Anolis sagrei: one gene and its partner. The protein of the gene in region 1 binds, or shares a complex with, the protein of each later gene. Links are inferred from orthologs where the notes say so. Each region holds a gene or a part of one and is shown in the gene's direction. Other genes may lie near its edges.

Region 1 (7,374 bases):
TCCCTCCAGGCAAGCCCGGTCTAAGGTTTGTGTCCAAAAGCATGGCAGGGAAACAGTCCAAGACAATAAGGCAGAAAGTCAATAAGTGAGGGCAAAAGAGTCCGAAGAGGATTTCCAAACTGTGATTGGTGGGGCAATGTCCTTTGGGAAACTGTATCTCCCTGGTCGGAGCCCGGGACCCATGCCTGGCCCCCTCTCCGGGGCTCCTACGGGCGACCGCCGTGGGTCCCAAGCTGCTGGATTGAATTGGGAGCGAGCACTGCTGCGGAGGAGCGGAAAACCCAGCCAAATTGACAATCAGCTGTTTCTCTGCAAGATAAAATACTTAAAACAAAACTAATTTTTCCCCGGGTGAAGGAGCCCAAAACGAGAAAAGGGAAATGGCAGTTAGTCTTAGAATTAGTTGTAGAAAAATATAAAATTGGAACGGCGGCGATCCGCCATTTTAAGTATTTTTGTGGATAAGGAGGTCTGAAATGGCGGTTTCCGTATCCGTGGTCTAGGCGAACGCAGATTCGGGGTCCGGGGAGCGCCCGGAGGCGCCCCCCGCGGGCTCACGGTCCTCCGGAGCCCAAAAAAAACGTCTATTGCAATGTTATTTGTTTGAGTCAAGAAAGGATACAAAAGTAGCATGCGGAAAGATAAAAAGTTGCAAGTTTCAAGTACTTTTATTAGGGAAAGGATACAAAGTAAAGGGAAGGGGAAAGCAAGATGAATACTGCAAGCATTCCTGGGTTTGAGCTAGCCGCTGGGGCACATTTCATCTGTTGGTCCCAAAAGCTTGGTCCAGGAACTGCGGAACTCTCCGCTGCAGCTCACACCAATGTGAAGGTGGGGCTCCCCGCTGCGCTCGGGCTCATTACTACTTGATTGTTATACAGATTGGGTTGTTATAGGTTTTTCAGATTATATGGCCATGTTCTAGAAGCATTTTCTCCTGACGTTTCACCTGCATCTATGGCAAGCATCCTCAGAGGTTGTGAGGATGCTTGCCGTAGATTTCACAAGACCTCACAACCTCTGAGGATGCTTGCCATAGATGCAGGTGAAACGTCAGGAGAGAGTGCTTCTAGAACAGGGGTCTCAAACTAAGGACCGGGGCCCGGATACAGCCCTCCAAGGTCATTTACCCCGGCCTCACTCAGGGTCAACCTAAATCTTAAACGACTTGAAAGCACACAATAACAACAATCCTATCTCATCAGCCAAAAGCAGGTCCACACTTCCCATTGAAATACTAAGTTTATATTTGTTAAAAATGTTCTTCGTTTTAATTGTTGTATTGTTTTAAGTGTTTTTTGTACTACAAATAAGATATGTGCAGTGTGCATAGGAATTCATTCATTTTTTTTTCCAAATTATAATCCGGCTCTTCAACAGTATGAGGAATTGTGACCTGGCCCTCTGTTTAAAAAGTTTGACGACCCCTGTTCTAGAACATCTATATATATAAATTTGTTAGGGGCATCCAACGAGGAATGGATAAAACTCTAAAAAAACCAATGAAACTTAACCAAAATGCCCATGCTCATAACACAACCCAAACATATTACTCAAAATGAAAAACAACACAACAACACACTCAAAACGGCAAAAAAAAAACTCAAAAAAACCCCAACGAAACTTAACCAAAATTCCCATGCCCATAACACAACCCACAAGGTATAAACGTATCTACTCTAAATGAAAAACAACACAACAACACACTCACAAAACGGCAAAACAACTGAGCATGCGCATTGGCGCCCAGCCGCAAGTTCCCTGGCGCGCGCACATGCCCTTCCGGCCAACGTTCCCTCTGTGGAAACCATGCCCACTCCAAGCCCCGCTGCGCCGCTTCCCGCACACACACACACCCCTGCCGCACATACACACACAACCCCACACTCCATCACTCCCCCCGCCGCCGCACACGCACACACGCAACCCCACTCCCCCCACCGCCACACACACACACGCAACCCCACACTCCATCACTTCCCCCGCTGCCGCACACACACACACACAACCCCACTCCCCCCGCCGCCGCACACACACACGCAACCCCACGCTCCATCACTACCCCCGCCGCCACACACACACACACAACCCCACTCCCCCCGCCGCCGCACACACACACAACCCCACGCTCCATCACTCCCCCCCACCGCCACACACACACACGCAACCCCATGCTCCATCACTCCCCCCGCCGCTGCACACACACACACAACCCCACGCTCCATCACTCCCCCACCCCAATCTTACCTCCTTTTACTTCACACCACCTCCAAACCCCACCCCGCCCCTTCCCGCCCTGTCAAAATCTAGGAAAGACAGGAAGGAAGGAAAGAAGGAAGAAAGAGAAAGGGAGGTAAAGAAAAAGGGGGAAGGAAGGAAAGTTAGAGAAAGAAGGAAGAAGAAAAGGAAAGAAAAGGAAAGATGGAAGGAAAGAAAAGAGAGACAGCAGAAAAGAAAGAAAAAGGGGGAAGGAAGGAAAGAGATAGAGAAAGAAGAGGAGAAGGAAAGATGGGAGGGAAGGAAGGAAGGAAGGAGGGAAAGAAGGAGAGAAAGAGGGAAGATTGGCCACAGCAACACGTGGCGGGTAAAGGTTGTTATTTCTATTATTATTATTATTATTATTATTATTATTATTATTATTATGCTATTGTTCCTATGAGACCCTGGAGGAATGGGAGAGGTGTCAAGTCCCAGAGGCAATGCATTGCATTATTGTTATTGTTATGATGGTGGTAAAATAAAAGGAAATAAAAAGTGAAAGAAGGAAGCAAACAGGGAGGGAAGAAAGGCAAAGGAAGGAGGGGGAGGGAATGAAGGACAGAGAGAAGGATGAAACCAAGTAGTGAAAGAAAGAAAGAGGTAGAGAAGGAAGAAAGGAAAGGGGGAGGAAAAGGGGGAAGGAATAGGTAGGTACCTCTCTTTCATAATAGTCCAGATATCTACCTCAACTTTGATAAGTTTTACTATAGGCCACAGCAACGCGTGGCAGGGCACAGCTAGTGTCTATATAGCCCGAAAAACCTGCAACAACCCAGTAATTCTAGCCATGAAACCCTTCGACAATAAGTTATACGTGCCCCAACTGTGACCATACCTCGTGAAGGCGGATCTGGCCAGGGTGGTCCATGTCTTAGTCACCTCCAGATTGGACTACTACAATGCACTCTACGTGGGGCTACCCTTGAAAATGGCCCGGAAATTTCAATTGGTCCAACAAGCGGCGGCCAGGTTGTTAACTGGTGCTCCTTACAGGGAGTGGTCAACTCTTCTGTTTAAGGAGCTCCATTGGCTGCCGTTCATTTTCTGGTCCCAATTCAAGGTGTAGGTGCTTACCTACAAAGCCCTAAACAGTTTGGGACCCGCCTACCTGCGTGACCGCATCTCTGTGTACAAACCCACACGATCTCTTCAATCATCTGGAGAGGCCCTGCTCGTGCTCCCACCTCCATCACAAGCGCGATTGGTGGGGACGAGGGAGAGGGCCTTCTCAGTGGTGGCCCCTTGACTCTGGAACTCACTCTCCAAGGACATCAGGCATGCCCCAACTCTGGCAGTCTTTAGGAGGAGCCTGAAAACGTGGTTGTTTCAGTGTGCCTTCCCAGAATAAGGAAACTCCCAGCAATATGTCCCTAAACGCACTTTATTAGTGATCTAGGATTGTCTGCATGTTTCATCCCTCTCCAAAATTTCTATCCTAGTTATATGTCACCTGGTCATGCCCAGCATTATTTTTAAATTTTTAATTATTACATTTGGCCCAGCCATAGGTTTTTAAATGTCATTGTGTTATTGTTAATGTTTATTGCTTATTTTCTGCTTATGAGTTTATTATTGTTTTGTATTACTGTTGCTATTGTTTTTATTGTTGTATTGTGGGCTCGGTCTCATGTAAGCTGCACCGAGTCCCTTGGGGAGATGGTAGCGGGGTACAAATAAAGTATTATTATTATTATTATTATTATACAGATTTCTCAGGAGGCGGACAAGGTGTCTTGGTATCCCCATACCACCAAGAACTTGCCACAATTTATTATGAGCCTGCTCCCATTGCCTTGAGCTATGGCCAAGCCCCATTCATTCATTAATTCATTGATTCAATGTAACCCATAGGCTTGCACTAACTCGTTCCTCCTGCAGGGGTCGCTACCGAACTCCCTCCGTTCTGCTTCCTAGAAGGGCTTCGCTTTGCAAAGCGCCGAGGAGACACCGCCTCCTCTCTCTAAGGAGACCCGGATGTGGAAGGGGATCCCTTCCGGGGTGGGGGCCGGTGGCTGCGGTGAGGCTCCTGCCAGCGAGAGGCGGGGGTCGTTTTCCGCTCAGCATGGCGGTCCCGATGGAGACCCAGCTGCAGAGCATCTTCGAGGAAGTGGTGGTGAGCGCCGCCTTCTCCTGCTCCGGGGAGGGAGGAGTGCGAGGGAGGGAGGACGATTTGATGCCTTCCTGGTGGGGTTTGGTCTGCAGCTCCCCTTCGCCCCAAAGAGATGGGCGGTGTCGTCCAGTGGCATCTGAAAGAAACCCATTCGATTAGACAGCCAAGGTGTCACTCTCTCAGCCACCCATGCGGAGAGAGAGAGTGTCAGATTTTTGGAGTCTTTCCGATTTCTGGATAAGCCCAGGATGCTTAGGCAGTTCACGTGTGGCTTGCCACAAGGGCTGCCTATGGGCCACAGGCCTCTCTCGCCCCTAACCTGTTGTTCCTCATCCTCCTGGCCCTGGGGGAGGCCACCCTTGCAATGCCTGAGGGCTCTTCCAGACAGGCCCTACATCCCAGGTTATCTGGCAATGTGGACTCACGTAATCCAGTTTAAAGCAGAAAACCTAGGATCAGATCCTGAGATAATATGGACTGTGTTGTTGTAGGTTTTTTCGGGCTATATGGCCATGTTCTAGAGGCATTCTCTCCTGACGTTTCGCCTGCATCTATGGCAAGCATCCTCAGAGGTAGGGAGGTTTGTTGGAACTAGGAAAATGGGTTTATATATCTGGAATGACCAGGTGGGACAAAGGACTCTTGTCTGTTGGTGCTAGGTGTGAATGTTTCAACTGACCAAATTGATTAGCATTTGATGGCCTAGCAGTGCCTGGGGCAATCTTTTGTTGAGAGATGAATAGATGTCCCTGATTGTTTTCCCTCTGTTGTTTTGGTGTTGTAATTTTAGAATTTTTTTAATACTGGTAGTCAGATTTTGTTCATTTTCATGTTTTCCTCATTTCTGTTGAAATTGGCCACATGCTTGTGGATTACAATGGCTTCTCTGTGTAGTCTGACATGGTGGTTGTGAGAGTGGTCCAGCATTTCTGTGTTCTCGAATAATATGCTGTGTCCAGGTTGCTATGGCTGACTTCTCTGGTTGAAGTAGTCTGCAGTGCCTTTCATGTTCCTTGACTCGTGTTTGGGCATTGCTGCGTTTGGTGGTCCGTATGTAGACTTGTCCACAGCAGCATGGTATACGGTAGACTCCTGCAGAAGTGAGGGGATCCCTCTTGTAATATGGACTGTCTGAAAGTGCCCTAAGAATCTTTTCGTGTGTGTACACACACACACATATTCCTGTTAACAGAATGCAAAACTTCATATATTAGATAATTTGGATTCAATTCTGTGAAACCCTGTGCTTCAATAAAGTGGTTTAAGATGCTTCAAAGTTTGGTTTTGTGTTCGTCTCATACGAAGCAGGGAGCAAGTTTGTTTTCTGCTTCCCTGGAGACTAGGACATGGAACAATGGCTTCAAATTACAAGAAAGGAGATTCCACTGCTGAACGGCTCTCACAGTCAGGAAGTTCTTCCTAATGTTCACCTGAACATTAGGAAGAACTTCCTGGCTGTGAGAGCCATTCAGCAGTGGAACTCTCTGCCCCAGAGTGTGGTGGAGGCTCCTTCTTTGGAAGCTTTTAAACAGAGGCTGGATGGCCATCTGTTAGGGGTGATTTAAATGCAGTATTACTGCTTCTTGGCAGGGGGATGGACTGGATGGCCTATGAGGTCTCTTCCAACTCTTTGATTCTATGATTCTAGATGTGAGGAAGCAAATATATTGGATGTGAGATCACAAAAAAATGCTTTGGAAGAAAAGGAGTTTGTAGAAAAGGAGTTTGTAGAAGCTAGGGATCATATCTGACCTGCTATTTATTACTAGCTCTTTTACTATGGAATACGTTTCATTGAACTCAACTGTTCTTGAACTTGTGCTTGTAATTATTATTAATTATTATTATTATTAACTTTATTTATACCCCGCTAGCATCTCCCGGAGGACTCGATGCGGCTTACGCAGGCCGAAGCCTCAAAACACAATACAGTAAAACAACACAACAGTAGAAAACATAGCAAATCAATAAGTTAAGCAAGCAATAACGGCAATAACAATACATCATGACACTTTAAATATAAAGAGAAGGGAAGAATCTCTTCAGGGAAACAAGAAAGCATCTTGGAAAAGGGAAAAAAGTACAATGCAGAACAGTGCAATTTAGAAACTTGTTCCAAATTATGAGTCAACATTTAATTCCGGACAACTATAAAATCACCTGAAAATACAGGAAAAACCTGTATTTCGTCATATATATTTTATTTAACTCCAGATCATTCAGAATTATAATATGACTTTGTGTTTACAGTCAGTGATGAATTTACTCCACCCATGTCAACATTTTGCACAGAGCTGGAATCCAAAATGCTAGACTCATCCAGCCACTTTGTATTTTTAAGACAGGAGATTTAAAATGTAATGTCATAAGCAGCCCCTTTGTTGTCTTATTTCTTTTGTTGATGTGATGATCTTCTGTGTGAGAGAGACAAGGTGTATGGCTAAGACCACCTTTGCGTTTATGTACTTCCTGATTGCCCTTGCTGGGCTCTCCTGTCCACAGAAGTGACTAGAGAAATCCGTAACAAACAAGGAACCAAAAGGTATTATGTCAAAAGAGCAAATACTGATTTAACTTTCCCAAGCAACATGGAATGCAAAGCCAACTTCAAATTGAGGCTCCAGATTCTTTGTGGAAGGATCTTTTGAAGTAAAAGGTAAAAGATTTATACGATCTGAAGAGAAACTTCTTTTTGACCATCTAATTCACACTTACATTCACTTCTCCATGACAGCAGACTGAATTTACTAGTGAATACACTTCTGAATAGATCAGATTGGAAAGCTACAAACTTCAGCTATCAACCACTAAGGGTTTATCTACATGGTAGAATGAATACAGTTTGACATCAGTTTAACTGCTATGGCTGAAAGCTATGGAAACATGAGAGTTGTAGTTTTACAAGGTCTTTTGCCTTCTCTGCCAAAGACTGCTAGTGTAGATCCCAGGTTTCCATAGCACTGAGCCATGATGATTAAAGTGCATTCATTCTACAGTGTAGATAT
Region 2 (7,681 bases), about 68 Mb from region 1:
CCGTACGCCTTTCCCAATCTTGAACCAGTCTGTTGTTCCATGGTCAGTTCTTACTGTTGCTACTTGGTCCTTGTACAGATTCCTCAGGAGAGAGACAAGGTGGCTTGGGATGCCCATCCCACCAAGAACTTGCCACAATTTATTATGATCCACACAGTCAAAGGCTTTAGAGTAGTCAATGAAGCAGAAACAGATGTTTTTCTTAAACTCCCTGCCTTTCTCCATTATCCAGATCTCAAGCCAGGCTGCACATTTCCTACCTCAATCTAGCAAATAATACAACAAGAGGATACTGCAAGACTGCATAATATAATAACAATAATAATACTTCATTTATACACCGCCACCATCTCCCCAATGGGGACTTGGGGCGGCTTACATGAGGCCAAGCCCAACAACACATCAATAAAACAACAAGGCAGCAAGCGAATAGAACAGTAAAATTAATATAACTCACATATAAGCAATAACACACAAAAATTCAAAACCTTATGGACAGGCCAGTTGTAATAAATTTAAAATTTAAAATAAACACTGGGCGCGTACAAAAGTAGGATGTATCTAAACAGGAGGGTTTTAAGGATAATGGAGAAATTAACAATTGAATCAGTAGCAAATCTTGTCACAATTGTATGGCACCAGTAGATTAAGTAATGAACCATATATTACATATATATACTGATGGTGCAGCGAGTTAAACCACTGAGCTGCTGAACTTGCTGAAAAGTTAATAGTTTGAATCTGGGGTGCGGGGTGAGTTCCCACTGTTAGGCCCAGATTCTGGCAAGTTAGCAGTTCAAAAACATGCAAACATGAGTAGATCAATAGGTACCGCCTTAGTAGGCGCTCCATGCAGTCATGCCAACCACATGACCTTGGAGGCGTCTACGGACAACGGTGGCTTTTTGGCTTAGAAATTGAGGTGAGCACCACAGAGTCGGGTATAGCTATACTTAATGTCAGGGAAAATGGGTACCTTTACCTTTATAGACCTTTCCCTTTAAACCCCAAAGTGACTTGCATTATGTTATAACTATTTTAATCTTCACATTAGCCTTCTAATGTAGATTAAGTCAAGACTGACTGTCTGACAATGTATGGGTGTCATGACTGAAATAAAATCTGAACCCAGTTCTTCCTGGTGCAAGCCAATGAATACACATATTATTAATGTCTACTGGCTACTCCTTCGCCCACAATTAGTTTCTGCACTAATCCCTTCTGAACGTGATTGGATTTGTCTTTAGAAACACAAACCGGCTTTTAACATTCCATGAAACAAACTCACTTTTAAAAAAACAAAAAAACTCAAACTGGGGAAAAAACAATGTGAAGTGGAAAAACACTAGAAGAAAGAGGGATCAGATCCACAATACACAGTTGAGAGTATTACTACTTCGTGACCTTCTGCCTAATTCACTATCCTTCATACTCTCTCCTGATCTTACATCAAAATACAGCTTTGTCTGCTTCCTTTGAACCACTAGCACAAAAATTAAAAATCACACTATGATAAAAAAAGACCTTCACCATTTTAATTCTATCATATGACAGGGGAATCACACTAATAGTTAACTTTTGCCGAACAAAGCTCTCCTATTTGGAACAATAGTTTTACTGTGTGCCAGTCATCTACCACACATACATTTTCACCGTTCAGACCCCCCCCCCCCCCAAGCTACATAAATAGCTACTTCCATACAATCTGTATATAAAGTTCTCAAGTAATACCTTTATCAATGACTTTGGTAACAGAAGAGAAGGCATGCCTATCGAATTTGCAGATGACACTACATTAGGAGGGATATTTAATAGCTCAGAGACAGGATCAGAATCCAAAATGACCTTAACAAAAGGAATTTCAACAAGGACAAATATAGGATGGTACAGTCAGGCAGAAATAAATGAAATGCACAGATACAGGATGGGCAACGTCTGGCTTAACAACAGTCCATGTGAAAGAGATCTTGGAGTCTTAGTGGACAACAAGCTGAAAATGTTAACAGTGTGATGAAGCAGCTAAAAAACCCAATGTGATTCCAGTCTGCACCAACATGAATGTAGTATCAAGATTGAGGGAAGTCATGGTCCCACTCTATTCTGCTTTGGTCAGACCTGACCTGGAACACTAAGTCAAGGAGGATGTTGACAAGCTGGAAGGTGTCCAGAGAAGAGCAAGCAGAATGAATCCCCTTCTACACTGTCATATAATCTAAATTATCAAAGCAGACAATCCAGATTATTTGCTCTGAACTGGATTATATGAGTCTACACTGCCATAAAATCCAGTTCAAAGCAGATAAATCTGGAATTTATATGGGAGTGTAGAAGGGGCCTGATGAAAGGGTTGGAAGCCAAATCGTATGAAAAACAGCTTAGTGAGTAGCTTATGTTTAGCAAGGAGAAGAGAAGGTTGAGAGGGGTCTTGATAGCCATGTTTAAATATTTGAAAGGATATCAAACTGAGGAGGGGAAAGGCTTGTTTCCTACTGCATGGAGACTAAAAAACAGTGGTGCAATGGATTCAAATTGTAGGAAAAGGATTCCACCGAAACATTAGGAAGAACTATATGGCAGAATGGAAAAACACATAATGGCTGCATGGAAGGGCCCTTAGTAAAATCTAAAGAAGGGCATGATAAAAAAAATCAAAAGAATCAGGGCCCTTCCACTCAGCCATATAACCCAGAATATCAAGGCAGAAAAACCTGTAATATCTGTTTTGAACTGGGTTATCTGAGTCCACACTGCCATATAATTCCAACTCAAAGCAGAAAACGTAGGATTTTATTCAGCAGGGTCAAGGGGCCTCAGAAAGCAAAATATAGCCTTCATGGCTCAAGGAGGTCACTGCAATGAAGGAAAATAAAAAGGAAGAAGTAGATTTTATGACAGGCACCCTCAGCCTGCAGTCCTCCGGCTGTCTGGGCCTCCAAATCCCGGGATTCCTGACCACTGAACAAGCTCCTAGGGCTTCAGGGCATTGGAAGCCTAAAACACCTGGAGGGCCGTTGTTTGAGGATGCAAAAGAAGTGGCAATAATATCACAGATATCTATGACCAACAACAAAACGCAAGTTGTAAACTGTTATCAACACAGAGCTATGTTAACATTAACTGTGCAAATTGGTTTAAACTGCACATAAATATAACAAAGAAAATGCACAGGGTATAAGTCTAAATCAGGGGTCCTCAAACTTTTTAAACAGAGGGCCAGGTCACTGTCCCTCAAACTGTTGGAGGGCCAGATTATAATTTTTTAAAAAACATGAATTCCTATGCATACTGCACATATCTTATTTGTAGTGCAAAAACACTTAAAAACAATACAATAATTAAAATGAAGAACAATTTTAACAAATATAAACTTATTAGTATTTCAATGGAAAGTGTGGGCCTGCTTTTGGCAGAGGAGATAGGATTGTTGTTGTTGTTGTTGTTGTGTGCTTCCAAGTCATTTCAGAGTTAGGTTGACCCTGAGCGAGGGCTGGGTAAATGACCTTGGAGGGCCGTATCTGGCCCCTGGGCCTTAGTTTGAGGACCCCTGGTCTAAATGCTACTCAGTAATTTCCCTCTAGAGCAGTGGTTCTCAACCTGGGGTCCCCAGATGTTTTTGGCCTACAACTCCCAGAAATCCCAGCCAGTTTACCAGCTGTTAGGATTTCTGGCAGCTGAAGGCCAAAAACATCTGGGGACCCCAGGTTGAGAACCACTGCTCTAGAGTTTTCTCAAGGCTTGAGTTATAAATTCACTCTTCCAAATGATATATATTCCTTCCATGAGGAAGAACTTCCTGACTGTGAGAGCCGTTCAGCAGTGGAACTCTCTGTCCCGGAGTGTGGTGGGGGCTCCTTCTTTGGAAGCTTTTAAACAGAGGCTGGATAGCCATCTGTCAGGGGTGCTTTGAATGCAATATTCCTGTCCAGGGGGTTGGACTGGATGGCCCATGAGGTCTCTTCCAACTCTTTGATTCTATGTTTCTAAGGCCTTGAGTCTCTTCTGTCAAACGGCAACTGGAGCCCCTTGCACATAGCTGGATAAAATCCCCATTGAACTGGGTTATGTGGCATTGTGGACTCAGATAACGCAGATCAAAGCAGATATTGTGGAAGACCTGCCTTGATAGTCTGGGTTATATGGCTGTGTGGAAGGGCCCTCCCAGGGTTCCCCAACAGTGGTGCCAAACTGTGTTAACTCGGCAGTGCAGAGTGTGAGCCCTCCCTCTGCAGAAAGAGGTGAGTTCCGGGTGCCGGCGCCGGAAGGAGGGGGAGGGCATCTAAAGGACGCTGGGGAAGGAAAGCAAGGCCAGGCCAGGGTCTGTCTCCACCGCCCTCCTCTTCCCCGCTCCCCTCACCTTGGCAGCGAGGCTGGCGCGCCCTCCCTGGTATCCCCTCAGCTGCCTGGCGGCCGCTGTCACCACCCGAGAACACATCATGGAGGCGGCCATGACGAGCCTCCTTCCTCCCCGGCCCCTCGGCTCAGGCGAGCTTGCCCCGCTCGCGCTACGCATGCGCCAGCGCGAGCCACAGCACGGGCCAGGGCGCGCGCCCTCAATCACCCTGGCGCCACGAGGGGCGCTGCCACTTCCGGTTTGTGTGCCTGTTTCTCTCGCTTCCGGCGCGTTCACCCTCCCTCCCTGTTGTCAGAGACGCGGAGAGAGGCAATGGCGGCGGCGGCAGGGGTTGGAGACCGGAGTAGCACTCGGGAGCGGCTCTTGGCAGCGCTGGACGACCTGGAGCTCCTTGCCAGGTAAGTTCCCCTTGTCGCAGGGGCAATGTCTGCAGGGACGCCTTCTTCGCTTCTCAGGGCCGAGGGCCTTGGTCATCTTCTGGCTGATGTTGATGCAGGCGAAACGTCAGGAGAGAATGCCTCTAGAACATGGCCATATAGCCCGAAAAAAACCTACAACAACCCAGTGATTCCGGCCATGAAAGCCTTCGACAATACATTGAACATCTCTACGGGGAGAAACTGTTCCAAGCCATATCAACATGAGCCAGAAGATGAATTCCCAGGACTGGGACAAAATAGACAACCTCACTTACAGGAAAATGGAGATAAACCCTTTTTCCTAGTTCCAACAGACCTCACAACCTCTGAGGATGCTTGCCATAGATGCAGGCGAAACGTCAGGAGAGAATGCCTCTAGAACATGGCCATATAGCCCGAAAAAAACCTACAACAACCCAGTGATTCCAGCCATGAAAGCCTTCGACAATACATTGAACATCTCTACTGGGAGAAACTGTTCCAAGCCATATAAACATCAGCCAGAAGATGAATTCCCAGGACTGGGACAAAATAGACAACCTCTGAGGATGCTTGTCATAGATGCAGGCAAAACGTCAGGAGATAATGCCTCTAGAACATGGCTATATAGCCCGAAAAAGCCTACAACAACCCAGTGATTCCAGCCATGAAAGCCTTCGACAATGTATACTCAAACAGAATATTAATTGAGGACACAGAAATGCTGGTCCACTCTGACAACCGGATAATATAAACCATAAGAATGTCAGACCTCACTACCTTTGAGGATGCTTGCCATAGATGCAGGCGAAACGTCAGGAGAAATGCCTCTAGAACATGGCTCTATAGCCTGAAAAAAACCCACAAGAACCTACTCATAAGAATGTTTTTCATACATATGTTATGGTCATAAAACATTCAATGTATGTACAAACAAATCTTGTCGAAGTACAACAGCCAGACTTTGCAGCTGCTACTCAATGCTAATCAAGGCTTCAAATAGGCAAAGGTTCTTTCCCCCACTCTTGTCCTTCCACAGATATATTTACACCCCACTTGCCTCATTCCAACACACCTCTGAACAAACATCTGAGGGTGCCTGCCATAGTTGCAAACGAAACATCAGGAAAGAATGCTACTGAAACATGGTCATACAGCCCAAAAAAAACTCACAGCAACTCAATGAAATATGTTCTGGTTTTTCAAATATGGTTCCAGTCACCGGAGAATAAATGGAAGCGATGCAGCAAACCAGGGGGGGGGGGGGGAAACTTTTATAGGAATTGGGGCCAAACACATGTAGCCAGAACATGACCTAAAGGGCCAATTTTTTGGGAAACAGAATTCAGATGAGCACTTAGTTCTTGTGTAATTATTTTTGTTGCACCTCACTTAATCAGAATACACATGCATATACATTAAACCAATAAGGTCATAAAATGCAAAATTGCAAACATTAACAAATAGACTTCCTAACTGGAAGCAGGAGGCAGAGAAATTCCATGGGTTTTGAGTTGTTCATTATCTTCTTATGAGGAAGTCAATCACTACATAAGAAATTGATAGGTTCCATCTGCATACAGCTGACTAACCTTTTTTTTCATCTGTAAAGTACTGGAAGGCAGAAATTGATTTGGTTATCAGTATAAAGATGTTCTTGTGAAATATGGAGAGCTATTAAGTTTATGATTTTTTTTGAAGTTTAACAATAGAGGCAGGAAAATGTGTTTCTGTTCTAAAAGAGGATAAACTCTTTCTTGCTTCTTTCTTTATGCTAAATGTGCTTCAGGGAGCTGATTGAAATGCTGGCAATTTCAAGAAACCAGAAACTTACACAAACCGGAGAGGACAGCCAGGTAATCAAAGAGTTTCGAAATAATATAAAGAGTATTAAAGTGGTTGACCTTTTCACTTCTTACCATACTTACTCAAGCATAATTTGTTATCAATTGTAATGTTCATCTCAATTTTGAAAGTGCACATTGCAAAAAAAAATGTTTTCTTGTTAAATGTAATGCATGGGTTCCCCTTGCCTGTTGGATGTTCAGCTCACCACCCTGGAAAAATTGACAGGCAAGGAGAAGCCTTGCTTCTCCATCTGTCCAAGGCTGGTGAACTAACTAGCCTCAGCCTGACGGACGTTTGGCAGCGTCTCAAATAAGGCCTCATTCACAAGGCCTTCAAAACTGAGTTCTCAGCCTGATGGAAGGGTGCAGGCAATTCTAACGCACCATCAAATCTTATGCGTACCTCACCTTTGGCTATGTAATTTAGCCAAAAAAAGGTGAGCATTAAATTCGAGTAAATATGGTATTTCAAATGTTGAATAGTCTGTTAGACCAGGAAAACAAATTTCTCCATCTCTAATAATAATAATAATAATAATAATAATAATAATAATAATAATAATAATAACAACAATAATAACAACAACAACAACAACACTACTACTACTACTATTTTATTTTTATACCCCGCCTCCATCTCCCCAAAGAGACTCGGGGCAGCTTACATGGGGCCAAGCCCAACAGAACACTTAAAATGTAACACATTAAAATGCAGATCAACAAAATGATAACAATAAATAATATAACAAAATGAAACAACATTAAACAGTATATAAAACAACATCAAACTAACAACCAATAGCAAAGTTCAATGTCTCATTGTGCGTGGGCAAACTGGAGTCATAACATTAGAAGATAGAGCTAATGAGTAAGGTGCAAATAACATTTAGCAGCAATGAGAATAATAATGATTTACCATTAAGGATTTATTTTTATATAACAATCGTAAACTGCTTGAGGACAAGTTACTTGATATAACTTCACATTTGCTACTTTGAGGGACAAGAAGTCTTAAACTCTTATTTTAGGTGCTAGACATTACTGTAATTAGGAAGTGTCAAAATACTGTATTTGATGATGGTTAA

The links. Proteins that work in one complex are often made in the same cells at the same time.
Region 2: MED23 (region 1) and MED4 share a complex: the UniProt entries of both Homo sapiens proteins name them as parts of the mediator complex. The link is inferred for Anolis sagrei from reciprocal best matches to the Homo sapiens genes MED23 and MED4.

Annotation. Positions count from the first base shown.
Region 1 is NC_090021.1:82,353,041-82,360,414, forward strand, and holds the start of MED23 (mediator of RNA polymerase II transcription subunit 23), read left to right. Parts: upstream 1-4,236; 5' UTR 4,237-4,321; coding exon 4,322-4,372; intron 4,373-6,871; exon of another isoform or gene 6,872-7,025; intron 7,026-7,374. UniProt on the Homo sapiens protein: Required for transcriptional activation subsequent to the assembly of the pre-initiation complex. Component of the Mediator complex, a coactivator involved in the regulated transcription of nearly all RNA polymerase II-dependent genes.
Region 2 is NC_090021.1:150,137,299-150,144,979, forward strand, and holds the start of MED4 (mediator of RNA polymerase II transcription subunit 4), read left to right. Parts: upstream 1-4,612; 5' UTR 4,613-4,663; coding exon 4,664-4,749; intron 4,750-6,538; coding exon 6,539-6,605; intron 6,606-7,681. Other genes in the region: SUCLA2 (succinate--CoA ligase [ADP-forming] subunit beta, mitochondrial), read right to left, coding at 4,355-4,510. UniProt on the Homo sapiens protein: Component of the Mediator complex, a coactivator involved in the regulated transcription of nearly all RNA polymerase II-dependent genes.